Rhinolophus ferrumequinum: one gene and its partner. The protein of the gene in region 1 purifies or fractionates together with the protein of each later gene. This does not show direct contact. Links are inferred from orthologs where the notes say so. Each region holds a gene or a part of one and is shown on either strand. Other genes may lie near its edges.

Region 1 (3,745 bases):
AATGGGACCCACACTCTAAATAGTTCTCCTAAAGGTGGGAAGGCCTGGTATTAGCTGTCCCATATTAACTTTCAAGAGACTATCAGATGAAGAAGTCTCATCAAAAGCAACCTACTTAAGTATGAACAATGCCCAAACAATGACAACTCAAAATTCTGGGCACTATACTAAGAGAAAACTCTTCCAGCATAGGTGATACTTAAGAATTTTCTCTCTGAAATTAGCCAACTTAAGTGGTTTCAGTCACAACACTTAAGGAAAAAACGATGGTTTATGAAAAGCAGGTAATAACACAAACCTTTATGCCACTCTTACTTAGAGATTCAAACAGTTCAATCTCACAAATGTGTTAAAAGCTCTCCCTTTCTCCACAATGGTAGTCAAGCAGCATAAATGAATCGACATTGAATAAAGCAAAGGCTCCCAGAAGTTGTGTGAAGTGCTACAAATTCTTATTTACTAACAGTTTAGGTCATACATTTTTTGAAAATTACATGTCTTTGGTATGCCTTTGTGTTCTCTACTCTCCTTTTCCCTTCTCAGATTGTATTTGTTGCTCTTTGGTCGCCCGATACTTCCATTTTCTCCTTTTATGTTCCTGTTACTCACACCAAACGGCAGCAACCAGGGGTGTAACTGATCACATCTCTAGTATAATCTTTTTCTTATTCTAGGACTTTCCAGATAGGAAAGGAAGACCCAGTTGCAGCCCAAATACTATTTATTCCGATTTTCCAAGCAAAGTGTGTGCGCAAAAGCGTCTCTTCGCCTTTCATTTTGTTTCCATTTAACTAATACCGCTGTTGTGCCCAAACGCAGATACCGGGTTAAGAGCTAGCTTTCCAAAATGGCTTTGCTCCTTTCGAGATGGCATTGGTCTACAAAACGCAATTTATTTCCACTGCAACCAACCCTTCTCTCTACCCGAAATATTACCCAACACACAGACAGCTGAACCTAGTGTAGACAACCGAATCACATCTGCTAAATTCAGTAGAGAGCCGGTATAGCCGTTGGACTATTGTAAAAAGAGTGAAAAACACACAAAAAAAACCCCGAGGGGCGGGCGTCACACAAGATCCCGTCCCCCCGCCGCCGTTGCAGCCGCGAGCACGCCTCCCCTCCATGGCCACGCCCCTCGCCGCCACGGCCGTGCCCACGCCCATCGCCAACCCCCGCCCCGCCGCGGCCACGCCCGACGTGAGGCGCGGGAGCCGCCGGGCCGGGGGCGGGGCCTGCACCCTCCCCCCAACCCCCCTCACCCCCCCCGCCGGCGGCGGCCTCCGCGCGGGCCTCCCAACCCATATTCCACTCACTTTGTTCTCTGCCTTTGTCCTAATCCACACCAGCAGGTGGAGCCGCAGTTAAAGTTTCCGAGTCCATTCAGGGAGCGGGAGCCCATCTTGCTCGCCGCCAAGGCCCTCGGTGGAGGAGGAGGGTCAGAGCTCGGGTGCAGCCAATCGCGAGCAACGCTGCTAGTTATCAGAGCAGAATGGGCTGTAGTTTAGTGAAATAGGAAAGCTGCAAAACACTGTGGAGTGTTCCCGTGTAAATAAAAAGAGGAAAAAAAAGTTTCTCAAGTCGCCGCTGCACTACGTCGGGCCGGCGCCGCGGCGGGGGTCTGCGCTCTCCCGGGCGGCCGCGCGCTGGACTTGATTGTGCCGCAACAAGCCCCCGTTCCCATTGTTTGTTTTTTTCAAAATATGGCAAAGGTTCAGGTGAACAATGTAGTGGTGCTGGATAACCCTTCTCCTTTCTACAACCCATTCCAGTTCGAGATCACCTTCGAGTGCATCGAGGACCTGTCTGAAGGTGAGTCGGGCGCCCGCCCGTCGCCGGGCTGTCAGTTGCGGGCTGCAGACGTTGAAAGTTTCCCGGGCCCGGCCTCGCGCGGGCGGCCGGTGCTCGGCGCCGGGCGGGCTGCGGGCTCCGGGCTTGGCTCTGCGGAGGGAAACTTGAAGTTGATGGACGACGGCACCGAGGCGCGCGAGGCGTTCAGCCGCAGCCCGGGCGCCTGCCGCGGCTCAACTTGCTAGGAACTTGTTCCAGCAGAGGTAGCCATGTTGTCAGCTTTGTCTGGTGGACCGGCGGCTCGCGAGACCCGCACTCCCGCCGGCGGAGCCGACCGGGGGTCGCGGCGGGCTGGCCCCGCGCCGCGAACGGCCTCCACGGTCCCCGCGGGAAGGCTGGGAAGGGGTAAGCATGTGTGTGGTCGCGCCGGCGAGTTAGCAGCGGAGCCATCTTACCCAGAGTAAAGAAGTGGGCCACCGACCCCGGCGTCACGACGCCTCCTCTCCGCGGGTGACGAACACGGCGCCCCGCCTGCCCACCTTCCGGCCCCCGAGTGGAAAGGCAAATCCATCTTTAGGGCTTACGCTGGAGTCCCCGCACTCTCTTGGGTGGCCATTCCCGGCCGCTTTGGGGAGGAGAGCGAGGCTGTCTTCGCGCTGATTTCTGGCTCCCTCGACCAACCAGTAGGGGAGGCGGGCGCAGGCTCGGCGCCGCGGGCCGGGCGCCGGCGCTCCCCGGGGGCCGTGGGTGCTCCCTGGCCGGCGCCCGGGATGCCCGGAGCGCCCGGGATGCTCGCGCGCAGGCTCGCCTCGAACAACGTGGACTCCTTTCCTTTAATGACTGAAATCTTCTCTCTCTCTCAGGAACAAAAATACTGTTAAGCTAGAAAGTTACATTTAACCCAAGAGTAGAAATAAGGAAAATACTTAATTACCAGGACTTAATTACTGGCTTCTAAATCTGAAAGAACACTTTCTTCACGAACGTATTGAAATCTAATTAAAATAACTCCACATCCAAACATCCTGAACATAAAACACAAAAGTGGGCTAGGAGATAAAAGGTAAAGTCCTAATGGCAATGCAAAAAATTTTACTATTTTTTCTAAGTATGTTTTAAGGTCTTAAAGAAGATAGTTTTAATATGTGCAGTAATAAATATTTAGAAAAGTAAAATTTGCCAAGGTCTAATCTTTGCGATTTTATTAAAAATAATCCAGTGCTTCATTTTGGAAATTTGAGGGGGAAAACGTTTAACTTCAGTGGTAATTTTACAACTAAATAGAGGACATAACTTCTTTGAACTTAGAAATCTATTTAGCAAAGTTCATTTTAAATTATTGTGCTAATTAAGTCATGTAAGGCATTTCACTATGAAAATTAGTTTTTAATCTGTAAGAAGTATCTTACGTAGGGTGTTAATTTTTTAAATTATAAAAATACGCGCTCATTGAAATAAACTTTTAAAAAGTTGTACACACATATATAAAGTAACAGTCCTCTGTACTCAGTGCCTTCCCCATCTCACTCCTGTATAAGTAACCATAATTAACACTTTAATCTGTGCTCCTCTATAAAGTTTAAATGCGCATATGAAGCACATAGCACATATACTGGGGTGCCAAAAAAATGTATACAATGACTCTGGTCAATATTGCTCAAGCAGTAGTTCCGGTAATCAGAAGTGTCTGGATGCTGATGGTAACCACGTTGAGCACCTCGTAATTGCTGAAGTCCAACGTGACTTGTGTTCACCTTTTGTTATGGGTATACATTATTACAATTTTAATAGTTTTTTTCCTTTCTTAAAATGTGGATACATTTTTTTTGGCACCCTCTGTATATATACCTTGTAGTGCACATTTTGGAAGATGATTCACTTGTTAAAATAATTTCTAAATAGGCCATTGATAATAAAAATTAAAGGGGATTTTTCTTGTTACTCTGAAACCATT
Region 2 (3,745 bases), on another chromosome or scaffold:
AATGGTGCCCTGAGAATTTGCTTCCAAGATGGACTCACATTAAAAATTCCAGCCTTCCAGGCCAGAAAGGAGTCCAGCAGGAGACTCCCAATCTCCTAGCCAGGAGATGGGTTGAGGCCAGACCAAATCTTAAACATATTAGTTAGCTATGGTACTCTAGCTACCCCAAGATGGTCAAAAAGCCCTAGGAGTGAGACGCGGGGTGGAGGTGGGGGTGGGGTAGTATGCTTCAGAGGGCACTCACCTTGCTCTTGACTTTGACCAAAAAACTGAGGCAGCAGAGAATACGTACACGTATTGCATCACTCAGGGCCATGTTTCTAGCCACCTGCACAGAGACTAAGGCAAATCAGAGACAGACAAGGAAAATCCCGAACATGCTGTGGGGCTGGGCCCACCCAGGCTCACCTCCAGGCAAAATGTGAGGACGTCAGAGAGGTGGGAGGTGATGATGGGCACCTCTGACTCCAGCAGTTCATCCAGGGCCTCCATGGCCTCACAGGCCTTTGCCTGCCAGAGAAACAGAAAGACAAGCCATAGGTTTACCACGGTCTTCTACAGTGGACCGGGCTGGAGATGGTCCTGTGCTCCTTCCCACAGAGCTCCTGCCCAAATGTCCTCACCTCGTCTACAAGGATGAGAGTCTGGATGGCCATGATGAGCTTGGGCACCAACATCTGCACAAGAGGCTGGAGGATACAGGATGAGTTGAATCACAGAAAGCACGATGCAGCTAGTCTCAGGCCCCAGATGCTGGCGGCTTCCTCGAAGCCTGGACACCGGAGGAGCCAAGGCACAGCCACCCACAGTATCCCCCCTCAATTGTTAGGAAGAGCAAAAGGCAACGAAAGAATCTGAATGGTTCTGCATCGTGCAAGGGTGAGGACACGAAGGCCCGAGGACAGGGCACCAGGGAAGGTGAGATCTTACCACGTCATCAGCGCCGAGGTAAGGGACCATGGTGGTGAGAGTGCGCAGGGAGTAGAAGAGGAGCCCAGGAGAGCCCACCTCACCAAGGGTCTCATTCAGAAGCCGAAGAAGTTCTCGATGGTGGGGTCGGAAGGCCTCAGGCCGGGAGGTCACCACGACACTTAGCAGCAAAAGCCCCTTCTGTCCAGGAGTAGGGGATGAGAGGGAAAACCTTACACGGTCTATCCAGCCTCTTGGTCCCTCCCTTCTACCAACCACGTGATAGTACCTCTCTCTCAGGAATGTGGGGGCTGTGGGTACTGTGTTGAAGAAGCTGCATGAGTTGAGGCCAGGACGCCAGGCCTTCCTTTCGAAAAATGGTGGCTGCGAGCTGGGCCAAGCTAAGGCTCACATTGTGCCTGCAAACAGGAGAGATTCCCCTGACCCCCAACCCTCCAATTCTCTCTCCTGCATATGTTGGCACTGCCTCCATGGCGTGGTCAAGAAAGAAACTTCCAGGTGGGGGCTTTGCCAAGTTGGGACACATAAGACAGAGGCTCAGAGGAAAATGAGCAGCATGGTGGGTGTGTAATCTGGTGAGCGTGACCTCACTCAGATTTAGTTTCAGTTCCATTCTTTGGCATACCATCACAACCCATTCTCAAGAACTTTAGTCTTCAACACAGCCTAGAATGCCTGCTCCACCCTTGGTCTAAAACTGAAGTCCCTGCCCCCCAAGTGCCAACCTGGAGCTGAAAGAGAAGGCAGAAACCGAGAGAGGGTCTCAGCCTGGAATCAGTAAGGATCCGGAGAAGAGGCGGGTAGGCACTTACTCTGTCTCTCTCTGGAAGGCAGTCAAGACCAGGGACTTGAGGCTGGAACACAGGTGGCAGGTGTTTGGTACTCGGCCTGCCCATCGCAGCCTGGCCCCGCCCCGCCCCTGGCCCTGCCCACCTCTCCCGGTGTTCCGCACCGAGCCGTCGCCAGCGGGTGCTCAGTCGTCTGCGGATCAGCAAAGCTGCGAACTGGCGGATCTGGGACGAGAAAGCAGGCACGTGAGGGTCCGGGCAGGAACTGCGGCTTGACCCGTGGCATACTGTGGGAAGCTCGGCGGGAAGGGGCAGGAGCCTCACCTGAGGGTCGGCCGCCGAGGCCAGCGAGTCGCAGAGCGCAGGCAGAGCGGCGGGGTCCCGAAGAGCGATCTGGAGCTGCTCCGTGGCCTTGGGGGAGGCTGGGGTCACAGTCGGCCCTTTCCCGCAACCTCCCGCTCGCCCTGGACCGGCCCCGCCTGCCCCGTACCTGGCGGATGCGCTCGGTGTCTGGCAGCAGCAGCTCCCGCAAGATCTGCTCCAGGCCGGCGGGCTCCATGGCAGCCGCCGAGCCGACGCTACTCGGCCGGGATGGGGGAGGGACAGCACGTGGAGGTTCTGAAACCCACTTCCGGCGGAAAGGGCGTTGCACCGCGCCCCTCCCGTCGCCAGGGTGATTCAACTAGCTTCGCACAAAGCGCTCCGGCTTCGCCGCTTCCGTTGGGCTGATCGCTGCTGAGCCGCGGAAACAACGCCCTGGCGATGTAGGTTCCTGGAGCCGAGAGTTCCCAAGTTCCCAAGGTCCGTGGAGAACTCGAGTTCCGTGCATTGCGCGGCCGCCCCGGCTTTCTAAGGCACACTGCCCTCCGCAGGGCTCGACTTCCTATATCCAGACCAAACCCTCCAACTACAGGATCCTTTTTCTTAATAAATTTTATTTTGATAATTGAAAAAAGAAAAATCAGGACCAAAACTAAAAGCAACTTAAAAAGTTCAAATATATACTTCTTATATAATAGAGATTTATAGTTTTCAGGCCCTCTCTGGGGAAGGGAGGCCCGAAGGGCAAAGGGGAAGGCAACAATTCAGTCAATCAGAAGAGATGTTGGTAACAGATAAATGGGACATGACGAAAGGGAGAGAAGAGCAGTAGTTTTGCCACCCAAAACTCAGTCCATCTTGAGGTTAACATAGATATAGCGAATGAACTTCAGGGAAGAAAAAAAGGAGATGGTGCCCAGCATGAGGAAGAAGACATAACCAGTGAGTAAGGAGTAGCCAAAGAACTCCACCGTCTGAACCGGCCCTGACATGTTGGAGCGCCTGGCATAGTAGAAAACTGAGTAGAGGAAGATGAAGAGCCCGGTGGAGCCAACGCTCAGCACAGATCGCCACCACCACCGATAATCCTCCCCAGACAACTGGAAGTAGGTGAGTGCAATGGAGATGCAAGCCCCCACACTCAGCAGGATGGCGAAGACAAAGAAGAGGATGCCATACAAAGTGTACTGCTCCCGACCCCATACTGTGGCAAAGATGTAGTACAGCTCCACAGAGATGGCACTGTGAAGAGAAGAAACGAGACACAGCATTAAATGGCTGTGCACTGCCAGCACGGGGCCAGGCCAAAATCCAGTCCCCACCCCTCTATGTTACTGGGTCACTGTGGGAAGTGGATTCACTTCACTCTGTGCCCTGGAGTTCCTGGCTTAATGAAGATTCTTTTACCTATGATTAGCTGCTTCCATTTTCAGAACATTTTTGATAGGTTGAGTTTGGGGATCTCGTCTGTTTTATTTTCCATTGTATCACCTGCCTGCCACTAAGAGGTACTCAACAAATTGAATGAATCAAATGGGCTTTAACTAAGCCCAACATGGTACCTGTAGACCCTAAATTCAGAAACCAGGAAGATGGAGAAAGGATCAGTGTCTCTGGAGAGCTTTACAAGTGAGACACCCTCATATCTGAACTGATTCAAGCTCAGTCCTGCTTGGATAAAGGGGGAACCCTTTGGTGATCTCTTA

The links.
Region 2: the proteins of ASF1A (region 1) and IPO4 purify together in Homo sapiens (affinity purification with mass spectrometry; 4 studies listed by BioGRID and IntAct, counting the BioPlex papers as one, with this or other methods). This does not show direct contact. The link is inferred for Rhinolophus ferrumequinum from reciprocal best matches to the Homo sapiens genes ASF1A and IPO4.

What each region holds. Positions count from the first base shown.
Region 1 is NC_046286.1:69,172,475-69,176,219, forward strand, and holds the start of ASF1A (histone chaperone ASF1A), read left to right. Parts: upstream 1-1,318; 5' UTR 1,319-1,703; coding exon 1,704-1,812; intron 1,813-3,745. UniProt on the Homo sapiens protein: Histone chaperone that facilitates histone deposition and histone exchange and removal during nucleosome assembly and disassembly.
Region 2 is NC_046289.1:74,345,776-74,349,520, forward strand, and holds the start of IPO4 (importin-4), read right to left. Parts: upstream 2,508-3,745; 5' UTR 2,278-2,507; coding exon 2,209-2,277; intron 2,130-2,208; coding exon 2,043-2,129; intron 1,944-2,042; coding exon 1,864-1,943; intron 1,785-1,863; coding exon 1,743-1,784; intron 1,329-1,742; coding exon 1,199-1,328; intron 1,111-1,198; coding exon 931-1,110; intron 690-930; coding exon 624-689; intron 511-623; coding exon 409-510; intron 329-408; coding exon 245-328; intron 1-244. Other genes in the region: TM9SF1 (transmembrane 9 superfamily member 1), read right to left, coding at 2,888-3,281. UniProt on the Homo sapiens protein: Nuclear transport receptor that mediates nuclear import of proteins, such as histones, RPS3A, TNP2 and VDR. Serves as receptor for nuclear localization signals (NLS) in cargo substrates.